Linked DNA regions of Saccharomyces cerevisiae S288C. The protein of the gene in region 2 interacts with the protein of the main gene of each other region in a biochemical or structural test. Each region holds a gene or a part of one and is shown on either strand. Other genes may lie near its edges.

Region 1 (6,161 bases), on a different chromosome or scaffold from region 2:
GCACACTGTCCCATAGGCTCCCTTGCCCAGGAATTGGATTATCTCGTAGTATCCTGGGATGGATATTCTCTCCTTGGCAAAAATCGTCCTCTGTTGAGGAGCACCGAGGTTGGAGGCCACATTTATGGCTCTGGTATTATCTGTAAGTGTGCAATTCATTCTTGGAGCGTTGAGCACGTCTACATTTCTATCGATATGATGTATCGCACGACGTTAAATACTGTTCAAGTGTCACAAATTAGTGGCGCCGAATTCTACCCTCACGCCTCGTCGCGCGCGATACTTTTCGAATCACCCGCCTTTTGCCGCCTATTTTTTTCGCCGTTCGTTTATTTAGCGGTGGGCAAACAAACAACACAGTATTTATTACTGGTACCGACTGTTAAAGAAGGACTGTTTTGGGACGTGTTTTTTTCCTGTTTTTGCTCAATTGACTACCCTATACATAGTAAAGCACAGTCGCAATGGTCACCCCAAGAGAACCTAAGAAGAGAACCACTAGAAAGAAGAAGGACCCAAATGCCCCTAAGAGGGCTTTGTCCGCCTACATGTTTTTCGCTAACGAAAACAGAGATATTGTTCGTTCTGAAAATCCAGATATCACATTTGGACAAGTCGGCAAGAAGTTGGGTGAGAAGTGGAAGGCTCTAACGCCAGAGGAAAAGCAGCCTTACGAGGCCAAGGCCCAGGCCGATAAGAAGAGATATGAATCCGAAAAGGAGTTATATAACGCCACTTTGGCTTAGGGATACTTCCTCCCCGCGTTTTTGTCTGTGTGATTTAATTTCTTTTCCTCTTGTTCTTTTTGAAACTTGCTTTATTATCTCTCTCCTTTCTATTCCTCTTTTCTCTACTGCCCTTTTTCTATATCTATACATATGATTAAATAAATAAATAAAAAAATTGTATTATTAATATATATTTTATCATCATCGAGTGTTTTTCCTTTTATGTGGCCAGCCGGCCATGCATTAGGAACGTAGACCGAGTGCAGCTCTTTTCAGTCAACGGCAATATCAGTTTAAAGGCGTCCCCTTCATTCAAGTAGTAGCGGAACATCCGTTTCATTCTGATGAAACCCATTCCTTCATATAAGTTTAGAGCCGCCGAATTTTCCACCTCTGTTTCTAACATGATCTCATCGCAATGTTCCCTTTGCATTTTATCTATGGCAATTTCCACTAGTTTCTTTGCTATGCCATGCCCGCGGTATGTGGACTCTACGGCTAGCATTCCTATATATCCTCTCAGTCTCACGTTTCTATGCGGGTCCATCTTACACACTATGCAACCAATGGGTATGTTAGGCGTTCCACTCTTGTTGTCAACGGCAATGTACGTTAACTCGGGCCATTGGTTCAAGAAATACCTATATACGTATATCGAGTACGGCTCTGATAGATCCGCATCTATTAGTTTTTTAATACTAGCAAACTGCTCTTCGTTACGTATGTCCAATGGCTTGTACACTATTTCCATGTCCTGACCCAACGCCTTTTCTGTAGTAGTGGCTTTTTTATCTTGTAATCTCTTGTGAAACTTTGTTCTTCATGATTATTATTTTTAATAAGGCTTGCCATGGAGAGCCTTTTTATCGCTTTTGGCTACCCGGTTTCTTGGTAGGAATGGAACTATATAATAGCGATGCCCTTATTTGAGTACCATTTTCTCAAATCAGAACCAAAGTAGTCCTCCTTTGAACAACGATTATTTTAGTGTACTGTTGTTGTTCGGAAAGTACTTCTTTTATTTTCTTTTATACATCATGGCAGACGCTGATGAATATAGCACTGCACCTACCCAGCAAGAAATAACACCACTGCAGACAACAGCCACTATCATAAATGCAATATCTGGAGAATGTATAACTACGAATGTTGATTTTTTCGTTTCCCTGGACAAATTTAAACAGTTCATTGCTAGGAAATGGAAGATTCCTCCCGATCAGCTGCTGATTCTACTACCTTATGGTAACAAACTAAAACCGTCGATGTTTAAAGAGCTGCTTATTAATAGGTCTTTTACTCTAAATGATTTTTACGTTTACGACAGACGACTATTCTCACTTGTTAGTAAACCGACACCAACAAATCTTTTAACGTCTAAGGATTCTAATCCCATGAACTCCCCTAATTCCAACGACTTGACAGAGACTCTGGAATATTTAATTAAGAATAGTCATATATCTCAATACCAAGGTAGCGATACTATTATGATCAAGCCTATGCCCTCGCCTTTGGAGGACGCAGACGTAGATCTTTCGCGTTTAAATTACCATTCCGTAACTAGCTTACTGACGACGAACCTTGGTTGGCTAAGCGCTTTAGAAATAGATGTACATTATTTTAAGAGCCTCATACCAGACATAATAGCCCATATTAAGCGTATTTTTGATGGCTTAACCGTTTGCTCACAATATTTGAAGCTGTACTGCTTTGATGTAGAAAGTTTGTATAACTCAAACGTTCAATTTTTAAATCAGCTGGTAGACAATGGTATGACTTCAAAATGGGAAAAATGCTTCAATGACACCTTGAGTAAGTTGACTGCTTTAGAGGGTGATTCTTTACAAAAGTTCATTAATATTGAATCTCTCCTGGAGAACGAAAAATCTGTAAAGATTCTAAATCATTCAATCAATGGTAAGCTGAATAAAATTAAGAGGGAAATTGACGAAAATGCAAGTTTTAGAGATATTATAACAGTAAACATCGATCGACTGCGGCAAATGTTTACCCCGAATGAATCTAAATTCGAGCTTGAAGACCAAATGGCAGAGAGCTTTGAGGTACTGGTATCAGAAATGCGAACAAGAAGCAGAAATGTACTTGATAAAGAAGAAGAAGAATTCAATAGTCAAGAATTTTTGAAAAGCATGAATGTGATGTTGGAAAAGGATAAAAAAGAATCAGTGAAAACTCTCTTCACTATATCACAAGCGCTGTATTCACAAATAGGAGAACTAATAGATTTAAAAAAAAGTCTACAAAAGCATGCAGTAGCCATTTTGGGTAACATAGCATTCACCCAGATGGAAATCCTAGGTATTAAAAGACTATTATTGAATGAATGTAATAAAGATTTAGAGCTATACAAGAAATATGAGGTAGAATTTGCACAGGTAGAAGATTTGCCTCTGATATATGGGCTTTATTTAATCGAAAAATATCGTAGGCTATCATGGTTCCAACAAATTTTGTCATTTATCTCAAATTTTAATCAAGATTTAGAGTTGTTCAAACAAAATGAATTACGAACAAGAAATAAATGGGTTAAAAATTTCGGTTCCATCGCGACTGTTTTTTGCGAAGATCTATTGTCTTCCTCTGATTTCAAACGTCTAAACGAATATCACTCTCATACTTCTCCACCAAATGAAGATGAGGAAGATGAAAATGAGAATTCTATAGCAAATTACCGCCAAGACCTGGTAAAAGTATCGCAAGCCATTGATAATTATATGACGCAAATTAAAGAAACAGATGTTTCTGAACCGATCATTGATCTACTTTCGAAAACACTTTTTGAGACGAAGAGATTTCATATAATATATTCCAATTTCAAAAATAATAACAATAATAGTTCTAATGGCAATAGCATTTCCCCTGAAGGGTCTATTGCCTTGAAAAGTGATGATGTAGTCAAAGGATACAAAACAAGAATAAAAAAATTAGAATCGCTATTACATGAGTTTCAATATTCCGACATAGGCCATTGGCCTCAAGGTGTTCTCAATACCCATCTTAAGCCATTTCGTGGTTCTGCTACGAGTATAAACAAGAAGAAATTCCTGGGAGCATCTGTATTACTAGAGCCTGCCAATATTTCTGAAGTGAACATTGATAGTGTTTCGCAAGCTAATAATCATCAAATTCAAGAGTTAGAGAGTAATGTGGATGATCTATTACACCAACTTCAACTATTGAAAGAAGAAAATAATCGAAAATCAATGCAAATTTCGGAAATGGGGAAAAAAATAAGTGATCTAGAGGTGGAGAAGACAGCTTATCGCGAAACTTTGACTAATTTGAATCAAGAATTGGCAAGGTTAACTAATGAAGAACAATCGCATAGAACTGAAATTTTTACCCTCAATGCCTCTTTCAAAAAGCAATTGAATGATATAATTAGCCAAGACAATGAAAAGATAGAAAAGCTAACAGGTGACTATGATGATGTTAGCAAATCGAGGGAACGATTGCAAATGGATCTGGATGAATCTAATAAGAAGCATGAACAAGAGGTCAATTTGTTGAAGGCTGATATTGAAAGGCTCGGTAAACAAATTGTGACTTCAGAGAAAAGTTACGCTGAGACTAACTCAAGCTCGATGGAAAAAGGTGAGAAATTCGAAACCATTCCTCTTGCTGAGGACCCAGGTAGGGAAAACCAGATATCTGCATACACACAGACTCTGCAAGATAGAATATTTGATATAATATCGACAAATATTTTCATTTTGGAGAACATTGGGTTGCTGTTAACCTTCGACAATAATAATAACATCCAAATTAGACGAGTCAAGGGATTGAAAAAGGGAACCGCCCAAAGTAATATACTGGATGAAAGCACACAAATGCTGGACGCACATGATAATTCTCTAATAAAAAGTCCGGTTTTCCAGAAATTGAAAGATGAGTATGAATTAATAAAGTCAGTTGCCAATGGATCTGAAAAGGATACACAGCAAAGCATTTTTCTGGGGAATATCACTCAATTATATGACAATAAGCTTTATGAAGTTGCCGTTATCAGGAGATTCAAGGATATTGAGACCTTGGCCAAAAAATTAACTAAAGAAAATAAGATCAAGAGAACGCTATTGGAGAGATTCCAAAGGGAAAAGGTGACTTTGAGGAACTTTCAAATTGGCGATTTAGCATTATTTTTGCCAACACGAGAAAACGTTAATTCTGTCGGGTCTATGTCGTCTTCCACCTCATCATTGAGCTCATCATTTTCATCTGTTGATTTATCAACTCCACCGCCTTTGGATGCTATGTCTATACAATCGTCTCCCTCGGTGATACATAGTAATGTAATCAATCAAGCCAGTATATCTGGCAGGGACAAGAATAAACTGATGAGGCCTTGGGCTGCATTTACAGCTTTTGAAGAAAGCACAAGATATTTTTTAAAGGACGAAAAAGGATTGACGAAGGGGAAAGAATGGTTTGTAGGCAGAATTGTCACTTTGGAACATTTCGTAGCAGATAGCCCCTCTAATAATCCATTTAGACTACCAAAGGGCTCAGTTTGGTTTCAGGTCACTGCGGTTGTGGTTTCATACCAGGGAGTTTGAACAGTGCTAAACGTTTGTCACAAATGACAAGATTTTAATTATGTATCTATTTAACATTATAATGCGATAAGTCTTGTTATCGACTACCAAGTTTCCTGGATATATCTATCAGATTTTTCCATTTCTTTCAGGTATTTTTTGGCAGTTTCTTCATCACTAAAATTGCCCCATTTTTTTAACATTTCAATGAATGTTAATCTGACTTGGATAGGCATTTTACCTGATGAGCCACATAAGAAAAAAACGGCGTCTTTATTAACTACCAAATTAGTTATTTCCTCACCTAATCTCCATAAGTAGTCTTGGACATATTTAACACCTGGTGAATTTTCCTCATCTCTGGAAAAGGATGAATGTAAGGCAATTTTGCCCTTACGGAACCAATCTTCCAGCATATCTTTATAAATATAATCTTTATCTTTATATCTACAACCGAAGAGGAGTTTGATATCTTTAGATATCTCCGCTTTAACCACTGATAATAATGGTGCTAGACCGACACCCGGTCCGACAAGAATCATAGGTTTATTCAAAAATTCCTTTTTGATTATGTGATTATTTTGTAACTTATACCTTATCTGTTCCCCCTCTTGCAATCGTGCAATGTAGTTAGTGCAAATTCCTCTTCGAATTTTCCTTAAGATAGTTTTATATTTTACTATCGCAACTGTTAATTCAATATTAGGATCCCCAGGGCCGCTAGATATAGAGTAGTACCTTGGTTTAATGATGGGCAAGTAATCTAGCACATATTTCCAGGGCAACTTTACGGAGATAAAATCTTCCAGTACTTCAAGAATTGACCTTCTGGGTCTATTACAGTAGTCATATAAGTCCTGCATATCTTGATCAGTAGCAA
Region 2 (5,504 bases):
GGATAGCATTCATTAAGTATGAGCAGTAATAAAGGAAATGGGCGCTTGCCATCATTAAAAGATTCCTCCTCCAATGGAGGAGGATCTGCCAAGCCCTCATTAAAGTTTAAACCAAAAGCAGTTGCAAGAAAGTCCAAGGAAGAAAGAGAAGCAGCTGCGTCCAAAGTAAAGCTAGAGGAGGAATCTAAGAGAGGTAATGACAAGAAACATTTCAATAACAAGAATAAAAGAGTAACCGGCGCTGGCGGCCAGCAAAGGCGAATGGCCAAATACTTAAATAACACACACGTTATCTCTAGCGGTCCATTGGCGGCTGGGAACTTTGTAAGTGAGAAGGGTGATTTGAGAAGAGGATTCATCAAATCAGAAGGAAGCGGGTCATCTCTTGTGCAAAAGGGCCTGGAAACTATTGACAATGGTGCTGAGAGCTCTGAGAATGAGGCAGAAGACGATGATAATGAAGGTGTAGCGTCCAAATCTAAGAAGAAGTTCAATATGGGAAAAGAATTCGAGGCACGCAATCTCATAGAGGACGAAGATGACGGCGAAAGTGAAAAGAGCAGTGACGTCGACATGGATGACGAAGAATGGAGATCTAAACGGATTGAACAGTTATTCCCTGTGAGACCTGTCCGCGTAAGACACGAAGACGTTGAAACTGTCAAAAGAGAAATACAAGAAGCTCTTTCAGAAAAGCCAACTCGTGAACCAACCCCCAGTGTGAAGACAGAGCCTGTCGGAACCGGATTACAATCTTATTTGGAAGAAAGAGAAAGGCAAGTCAATGAGAAACTGGCAGATCTTGGACTTGAAAAGGAGTTTCAATCGGTTGATGGGAAAGAAGCGGCCGCTGAGTTGGAATTATTAAATGCAGATCATCAGCATATATTACGAAAACTAAAGAAAATGAATAATAAACCAGAAAGATTCATGGTATTCCAGTTACCTACTAGGTTACCAGCTTTTGAAAGACCCGCTGTGAAAGAAGAAAAAGAAGACATGGAAACCCAGGCTAGCGACCCTTCAAAGAAGAAGAAGAATATTAAAAAGAAGGACACGAAGGATGCTTTGTCTACTAGAGAACTTGCCGGCAAGGTTGGGTCTATACGGGTTCACAAATCTGGAAAACTTTCCGTGAAAATTGGAAATGTGGTGATGGATATTGGCAAAGGTGCCGAAACCACATTTTTACAAGATGTTATAGCATTAAGTATCGCTGATGATGCATCCTCAGCGGAACTTCTAGGCCGTGTGGACGGTAAAATAGTAGTCACACCTCAAATCTAATCGCACTCGCATCTGTCGAGTATATAAATGAATATACACAGTCATAAATACTTCTAGAACAAATTACACTAATTAAGATGCTTAGATTCCCATTCAAAAGGTACTATTGACGTCTTGTCTTCTACAATTTCTCATCCTCTTTGAACATTGGTAATGTTATTCTAGTTATTGTTACCCAGTTTCGGAACTTTAGGGGAGCCACACTTTAAACAAAAAGAAGCGCCATAACCACCGTGAAGTAATGAGTATCTCACTTTGATAAGAAGACATTTAAGAACAGCCTGAAATATCAAAATCACGGAATTATTAGGTTATGGAGAGAGATGAATACCAGTTACCCAACTCTCATGGGAAGAATACTTTCTTATCGCGAATATTTGGTTTACAATCGGATGAAGTTAATCCTTCTCTTAATAGCCAGGAGATGAGCAACTTCCCTTTACCAGACATAGAGAGAGGCTCATCTTTATTGCATTCTACTAACGACAGCCGCGAAGATGTAGATGAGAATGACTTACGTGTTCCTGAGTCTGACCAAGGCACTAGTACAGAAGAAGAGGATGAAGTAGATGAAGAGCAAGTCCAGGCGTATGCTCCACAGATTAGTGATGGATTGGATGGAGACCACCAGCTAAATTCTGTAACGAGCAAAGAAAATGTACTTGAAACGGAAAAAAGCAATTTAGAAAGACTGGTTGAAGGCTCTACCGATGATTCTGTGCCCAAAGTCGGACAGCTTTCGTCAGAAGAAGAAGAGGATAATGAGTTCATAAATAATGATGGATTTGATGACGATACGCCCCTTTTTCAAAAAAGCAAGATTCATGAATTTAGCTCTAAGAAAAGCAATACTATAGAGGACGGTAAACGACCTTTGTTTTTCAGGCATATCTTACAGAATAACCGCCCTCAACGTGATACCCAAAAGCTATTTACTTCGTCGAACGCCATTCACCATGATAAGGACAAGAGTGCAAATAATGGTCCCCGTAACATTAATGGTAATCAAAAGCATGGCACTAAATACTTTGGTAGTGCTACACAACCTCGGTTTACCGGTTCGCCCTTAAATAATACAAACAGGTTCACTAAATTGTTTCCATTAAGAAAGCCAAATTTACTGAGCAATATATCCGTTTTAAACAATACCCCGGAAGATAGAATCAATACGTTGAGCGTGAAAGAGCGGGCTCTGTGGAAATGGGCAAACGTAGAAAACCTCGATATATTTCTTCAAGATGTTTACAATTATTATCTGGGAAATGGGTTCTATTGCATCATACTGGAAAAAATATTGAATATATGCACTTTGCTTTTTGTTGTTTTTGTTTCTACATATATGGGTCACTGTGTTGACTACTCCAAATTACCGACTAGTCACCGGGTTTCGGATATTATTATCGACAAGTGTTATTCTAATAGTATAACGGGGTTCACAAAGTTTTTCCTTTGGATGTTTTATTTCTTCGTGATTCTCAAAATTGTTCAACTCTACTTTGATGTTCAAAAATTATCAGAATTACAAAACTTTTACAAGTATCTTTTAAATATATCGGATGACGAACTTCAAACTTTGCCCTGGCAAAATGTGATACAGCAGCTAATGTACTTGAAGGATCAAAACGCTATGACGGCAAATGTTGTGGAAGTCAAAGCCAAGAATAGAATCGACGCGCATGACGTTGCCAATAGAATCATGAGAAGAGAAAACTATCTCATAGCACTTTACAATAGCGACATCCTGAATTTATCCTTGCCTATTCCATTATTTAGGACCAACGTTCTGACAAAAACACTAGAATGGAATATTAATTTATGCGTCATGGGCTTTGTGTTCAACGAGTCCGGATTTATTAAACAAAGTATTTTAAAACCTTCTCAAAGAGAATTCACGAGAGAAGAATTACAAAAAAGATTCATGCTGGCAGGATTTCTTAATATTATATTGGCACCATTTCTGGTCACATACTTTGTTTTGCTTTATTTTTTCAGATATTTTAATGAGTATAAAACTTCTCCTGGATCTATTGGTGCTCGTCAATACACACCAATTGCTGAATGGAAATTCCGTGAGTACAATGAACTTTACCATATTTTTAAGAAAAGAATAAGTTTGAGCACAACCTTAGCTAACAAGTATGTTGATCAGTTCCCGAAGGAAAAGACCAATTTGTTTCTGAAATTTGTTTCCTTTATTTGTGGATCATTTGTGGCCATTTTAGCTTTTCTCACTGTATTCGATCCAGAAAACTTTTTAAACTTTGAAATCACCTCGGACAGATCTGTCATTTTCTACATTACTATTCTGGGTGCTATATGGTCTGTAAGTAGAAATACAATAACCCAGGAGTACCATGTTTTCGACCCCGAAGAGACGCTCAAGGAGTTGTATGAATATACACACTATCTACCAAAGGAATGGGAAGGAAGATATCACAAAGAGGAAATCAAACTAGAGTTCTGTAAATTGTACAACTTGAGAATAGTAATACTTTTGAGGGAACTCACTAGCCTGATGATAACACCGTTTGTACTTTGGTTTTCGTTGCCCTCGTCAGCCGGCAGGATTGTAGATTTCTTCAGAGAGAATTCTGAATATGTGGACGGATTAGGTTACGTTTGCAAGTATGCTATGTTTAACATGAAAAACATAGACGGTGAAGATACACACAGCATGGATGAAGACAGTTTAACGAAAAAGATTGCCGTGAACGGAAGTCATACACTCAACAGTAAACGAAGGAGTAAATTTACCGCCGAAGACCATAGCGATAAAGATTTGGCAAATAATAAAATGTTACAATCATATGTATATTTTATGGATGATTATTCCAACAGTGAAAACTTAACAGGGAAGTACCAATTGCCTGCAAAAAAAGGCTATCCGAATAATGAAGGCGATTCATTTCTCAACAATAAGTATTCTTGGAGAAAGCAATTTCAGCCAGGTCAAAAGCCGGAGCTATTTAGAATAGGTAAGCATGCTCTCGGCCCTGGCCATAATATTTCCCCTGCTATATATTCTACAAGGAATCCCGGCAAGAACTGGGATAACAATAATAATGGTGATGACATTAAGAACGGGACCAATAATGCTACAGCTAAAAATGATGACAATAATGGCAATAATGATCATGAATACGTACTAACAGAGTCTTTCCTTGATTCGGGCGCATTCCCTAATCATGATGTAATAGACCATAATAAAATGCTAAACTCAAATTACAATGGTAATGGCATACTCAATAAGGGTGGTGTCTTAGGACTTGTTAAAGAGTATTACAAGAAGTCTGACGTCGGAAGATAAGGCAGACTGTGTCGTGTACATCATCCAATATAACTATATATATAACTGTTTCCTTTCTTTTTCGTATTTACCTAAATGCATATATTATTCAGTTCCCACTAATTTTGTACTACAATAATAAGAGAATCCCTTCCCTGTTTTAGAAATGAGTAGTTCTTTTCTTTTTCATAAATAATACAGTTGTCTCTGAGAAGCCTAATAAGAAAAAAAGAGGTTAATAAATTATTATTATTGGTTATTTCTTTCCGCCACGTAGTTTTCTTTCTCTTTCATACTTGTTTTTTTCCGCACCTTCTTCGGTATTAATAGTGTTAACAATATGAGCCATCTTTGCATGGTAGTCGCTGCTCTCCTTGTTCTTTTCTTCAATTCTTTGTCTAGCTTCAAATTTGGCGTCTTTACGGATTTCTTTCATAGTGAATTTACGTTCCTTCTTTAGTTGGGCCTTCATCTTATTTATCTCACTTCTTGTTCTATCAGGATCGTACGATTTTTTATCAGGATTGAAGTTTTCTTCGTATTTAGGAGCATGCGTAGGTATGGATACGGGTTTGTGGTTCTGTAAAGCCAACGGAATATGTTCTGTGAATTTCGTTAATTTTTCAACTTTGTTCAAAATATTTCTTGGCTTTTCAAAATCAGAATACTTTGAGGTGTATGCACTTAATAACTGCTGAATCGGTAAAATAATTTCATTGAAAGCAGGTAAGCTCTTCCACACAGTAGAGATAGTTGCATCTAAAGATTCCATAACATTTAGTAAAACGGAGACACATTGATCAACCGGATGTGCCTCGGTATCCATTGTTGACAAGGTATGTAATGGAATAATAGTTGATCTCTTTTTTGTAAAGTCAACGTCCAATGGAAGCCCCAACTCGTAAGAGTCTAGTCTAATATTTTCAAAATC
Region 3 (4,065 bases), on a different chromosome or scaffold from region 2:
ACGGTGATGTGAACGATTTATTTACCGAGCTTTCTACAAATATTACGGGAACAATATCAGCTCCAGTTAATGGAGGCATATCACAGTACAAGGCCTTTTTAGAACCCTCCACATCCAAGCAGTTCAGTACTGATGATTTAGGAAGATTGACGCTAGCTTTTGATGAGCTTGTTGCAGTATTAGGTCGCTGTCTAACGTTGCATGCAGAACTACTACCATCAAAGGATCTAAAACCATCACATGATCTTCTAGTGCGTCTTTTTGAGGAAAATTTCGCTGAGGAGATAGAAAGATATAGTCGTACTCTCAGTGAGGCCAATCGTAGCAGGAATAACATGATTACTGCTCGAATAATTTCGCACAAGAACCCCAATAAAAAGGCAAGCTTTTCTGGAAGGGATCATCACACCTCAGGGTCCAATCATAGCCAATTTGTATTAGAACATAGCGACTCATTTGGCCCAAACAGTTTACTTTTTGGAAAATATTTAACAAGAACGTTATCCCACTCGTCCACTACGAGCAGTTTGGATAAAAGTGGAATTGTTTCCGGCACTTCGAGCACCTTTTTGGCAGGGTCACAGCCAAACACCAACACAGATTCACAGCACAAGCATGATTACTCACATTCGGGATAATATGTCAGAAGTTGTTCACTATAAAATATACGCATATGTAATCATTTATTTATTCATTCATGACTTTTAGTTGAAAAGGGCACATTTTTCTTTGTCGTAAAAGTGAAGAAGACAGCGAATTTTTTCCTTTCTCCTTCAAGTATTGCTTTTTTGATAAAGTATTTTTCGAAATATTGATACAATTATTGAATCTTTGTACCGTATCCTTTTTTTCCTTTTTTCTAAGGATTCTTCACGTTGTAATTTAAAGTGTACAGGGAAGAAAAATCGTCAATTTTACCGGGCCAGATTGTCTCAGGAAGATAAGTTCCATTTTCCGCTATAAAATTCTGACGTTCTTCCTGGTCCTGAGCATCTAAATTCTGCAACTGCTTTTCACAATCTTTCAATATAGTTTTCATTCTGTTTGCCACATCCTTTCTCCTCTTTGCTTCTAGAACTAAGTTACCGTAGCTTTCTTCAAAATTATCATAAAATTCACAAAGTTCCTTAGTTGTTTGAATATCTTGTGTACAGGAATTTTTGAAGCTATCAATCAGATTGGAAATATCTTTAAAGATTAATAGATATTCCAAATTTCTATTGAAATCGTTTATTATTTCAGAAACTTCGCTGTGTAGTTCTGTCTTTTCCTTTATTTTTGCCTGCAAAAATTGACCCAAGTTAAGAATTGTTTTGTCCACGTCATCAATTACCTCATGCAGAGTTTTGAAAATGTTGTATAGTTCTTTGTCGTCGCCTTGTACCACCTTAAACAGCTCCTCACGTTCATCGTTATCAATTTTTTTATCTTGTAACAGCAATGTCTTATCAAAGTGCTGTGTCAATGAATTCATTATCTCTGCTAAATCTTTTTCAAGGTCCGTTAGTTCCCTGCTAAACTGCTCTGCAACATTTGTTTCCATCAGGTTATCTATACCAAATTTACTTTGGAATTTTTGAGTTACGTCCGTCAACTTGGTATCAATCAGTTCTTTGTTAACTTTTCTGACCATATTTTCGTATTGAAGCTTAATGTTTTCAATTTGACGCTCAATTACTGGCACTTCTTTCAGTTTGTCATTCAATAAGTTAACGTTGTCTCTCGAGATGTAATCTCCTAGTTTAGAGGGATCGGTATCATCTTTTTCTGATATGCTCAATTCATTTACTATACCATCCAACCTTTGTACTTTAGAAGTGATTTCATATTGCCAGTACTTCATCTCATCAACTAAGACCACTAAGACAGCTTGATTCCATTGTTTCTGGATTAGCTTTGTCCCAATGCCTTCCTTTAAAATAGTGTAAAGAAACTTTCCTTGCTGTCTCAAGCCAACTATTAGAAAATTGAGTTTTGAAATACTCAACTGCCAAGATGACAATTTTTTCTTAATATCTACAATCCTTAAATTAGCACTTGAACATAAAAGTTGAGCATCGGTCAGCGTTTTCCTGGCATTATTAACAAATTTTGTAACATCTGCTTCGTTCATAGGTGTTAAATACGTTGATAATATCCTCGCAGTATCGAATTTATCGTACGTTATGCGACTTTCAAATAATTATCAAGTTAGGGATATCTTGCAATTTTTAATACTGAGGCCTTAGAGCGCGCATCTAGTATTTACATTATGTCAAAACAATAACAAAAATCCAAAATTTCGAAATAGTACAACCGAGAGAGGTCGAAGAACTTAAGCCTTCAGTACGCCAAAACATGGAGGATTCGGACTCCAACACAGATAAAAAGTTCTTTTTCAAAAAAAGAAGAATCGATTCCTATAATTATAGCGATGAGGAAGATAATAATTCAAGCATGAATAGTGACATGACATACACTAATGATGCCTTGAAAACTAGTAGCGGCAATGCCCCAACGATCTCAAAATTAACGAAGACATATGGTATTGGTGCGAAGTTACTTTCGAGTATGGGATATGTTGCGGGAAAAGGCCTTGGGAAGGATGGTTCTGGTATAACTACACCAATAGAAACCCAAAGCCGACCTATGCACAATGCAGGTCTAGGAATGTTTTCAAATACCAACTCCAGTAACTATCACAGTGAAAATGAGGATTACTTGAGCTCTGAGGATGAGGTGGTTGAAGGTATAGAACAAGTCAAATTCAATAAAACCTCCACGGAGGTTTTAGGCGAAGCGTTGTTAAATGATAGTGGTGATATGACTATAGTGCGAACACTGAGAGAATTGAGGTTAGCAGGGGTACAATTACCAGAGAGTATCCTAAAAGAATTAGACCCTTTAAATGCAGTACCAAAGCCGAAAAAAGATGTTGTTGTGGAGATATTGCAAGAGCTGCTGGGTATTGAAAAAAGTTTGGAAGCTATTCGTCAGCGCACCTCTCCGTTAGAAGTGCAAGTCAAAGAATATTATGGACAAGAGAGGCTTCTTTCTGAATTGGAGGTTACTTTGAGGGACGAAAGCAAGCATGTTTCCCTGTATGATAAGATTGGTGCTATTTTAAAATTGTCCGACGACGAGCTCATAGATAGGCTAACGTCCTGCTTATTGAGAAAAGAATTACTAATAGAATTTGATTTGGATCATTTAGAAAAGCCAAACGATATACTTGATGAGTTAACGCAAATTATAGAACTACTCGCATATAGAATGGATACAACTTCGAAATTTTTGAACAGGACACAAACAACAATCTTTAAAGTTATATATCCCAAACTCAAAAAATTTTGGGAAGGGTTTGATATGACTAAATCAAAAATCGACAGCGCTATCACCCTATTACTGGATTTCCAACAAGTGCTAAGTTTTATCGGGTGTAAAGAGCATATCATGGAGGAATTCGTCTATCCAAAGCTATTACAGGAATTAGATAATTGGGAACTTCACGATGAAGTAGACCATGTTTCGCCAAGAATATGGGTCTTGGATTTTATGGTTTTAATTGACGATAAGATCAAAGACACAATTGTGGACAAGATTGAAGCAAAATTTTTTGCTTATTGTAAAAATTGGTACCATAGGGAATCATTTTGTATCACTAATTCTGATATTATATTTATCAAAGAACTTATCTGCGAACGAAGATATTACAAAATTTTATGTAAAGAGTTTCTTCCTAAATTCCTGGACGAGCTGTGGGAAAGACATAATGACCCCATCTACGAGTTAGAGGATTGGAAGGAAAAACAGGAATGGAAAGAAAAAGATTCTGGATTTTTCTATTTTATGAAAAAACTGAGAAGTTATACCCATTATTTTCATCCAAAACAGTATGAATTGATGATGCGGGGAACCTTTAATAATATAAACAAAATACTCTATCAATGGCATCTTTATAGTACAGTGGAAGACTTACACAAGTCAAAGTGGTGGCTTAATTGGCTGATGAATACGGTATTTGAGCACTCTTTACCAACAGAAATAGAACTATCGGAGATCAGAAAAAGCTATAATATATTCGCT

The links.
Region 1: the proteins of ATG9 (region 2) and ATG11 form a complex in vitro, tested with the Saccharomyces cerevisiae proteins (3 studies listed by BioGRID).
Region 3: the proteins of ATG9 (region 2) and ATG17 form a complex in vitro, tested with the Saccharomyces cerevisiae proteins (3 studies listed by BioGRID).

The regions. Positions count from the first base shown.
Region 1 is NC_001148.4:660,278-666,438, reverse strand, and holds ATG11 (autophagy protein ATG11), read left to right. Parts: upstream 1-1,765; coding exon 1,766-5,302; downstream 5,303-6,161. Other genes in the region: mitogen-activated protein kinase SMK1, read right to left, coding at 1-159; YPR053C (uncharacterized protein), read left to right, coding at 196-651; NHP6A (high-mobility group nucleosome-binding protein), read left to right, coding at 465-746; peptide alpha-N-acetyltransferase MAK3, read right to left, coding at 949-1,479; TAH18 (NAPDH-dependent diflavin reductase), read right to left, coding at 5,386-6,161. UniProt on the Saccharomyces cerevisiae protein: Involved in cytoplasm to vacuole transport (Cvt), pexophagy, mitophagy and nucleophagy. Recruits mitochondria for their selective degradation via autophagy (mitophagy) during starvation, through its interaction with ATG32.
Region 2 is NC_001136.10:183,325-188,828, forward strand, and holds ATG9 (autophagy protein ATG9), read left to right. Parts: upstream 1-1,600; coding exon 1,601-4,594; downstream 4,595-5,504. Other genes in the region: RPC53 (DNA-directed RNA polymerase III subunit C53), read left to right, coding at 19-1,287; snoRNA-binding rRNA-processing protein NOP14, read right to left, coding at 4,830-5,504. UniProt on the Saccharomyces cerevisiae protein: Phospholipid scramblase involved in autophagy and cytoplasm to vacuole transport (Cvt) vesicle formation.
Region 3 is NC_001144.5:971,058-975,122, forward strand, and holds ATG17 (protein kinase regulatory subunit ATG17), read right to left. Parts: upstream 2,114-4,065; coding exon 860-2,113; downstream 1-859. Other genes in the region: guanine nucleotide exchange factor DCK1, read left to right, coding at 1-638; mRNA splicing protein SPP382, read left to right, coding at 2,338-4,065. UniProt on the Saccharomyces cerevisiae protein: Autophagy-specific protein that functions with ATG13, ATG29, and CIS1/ATG31 in response to autophagy-inducing signals as a scaffold to recruit other ATG proteins to organize pre-autophagosomal structure (PAS) formation.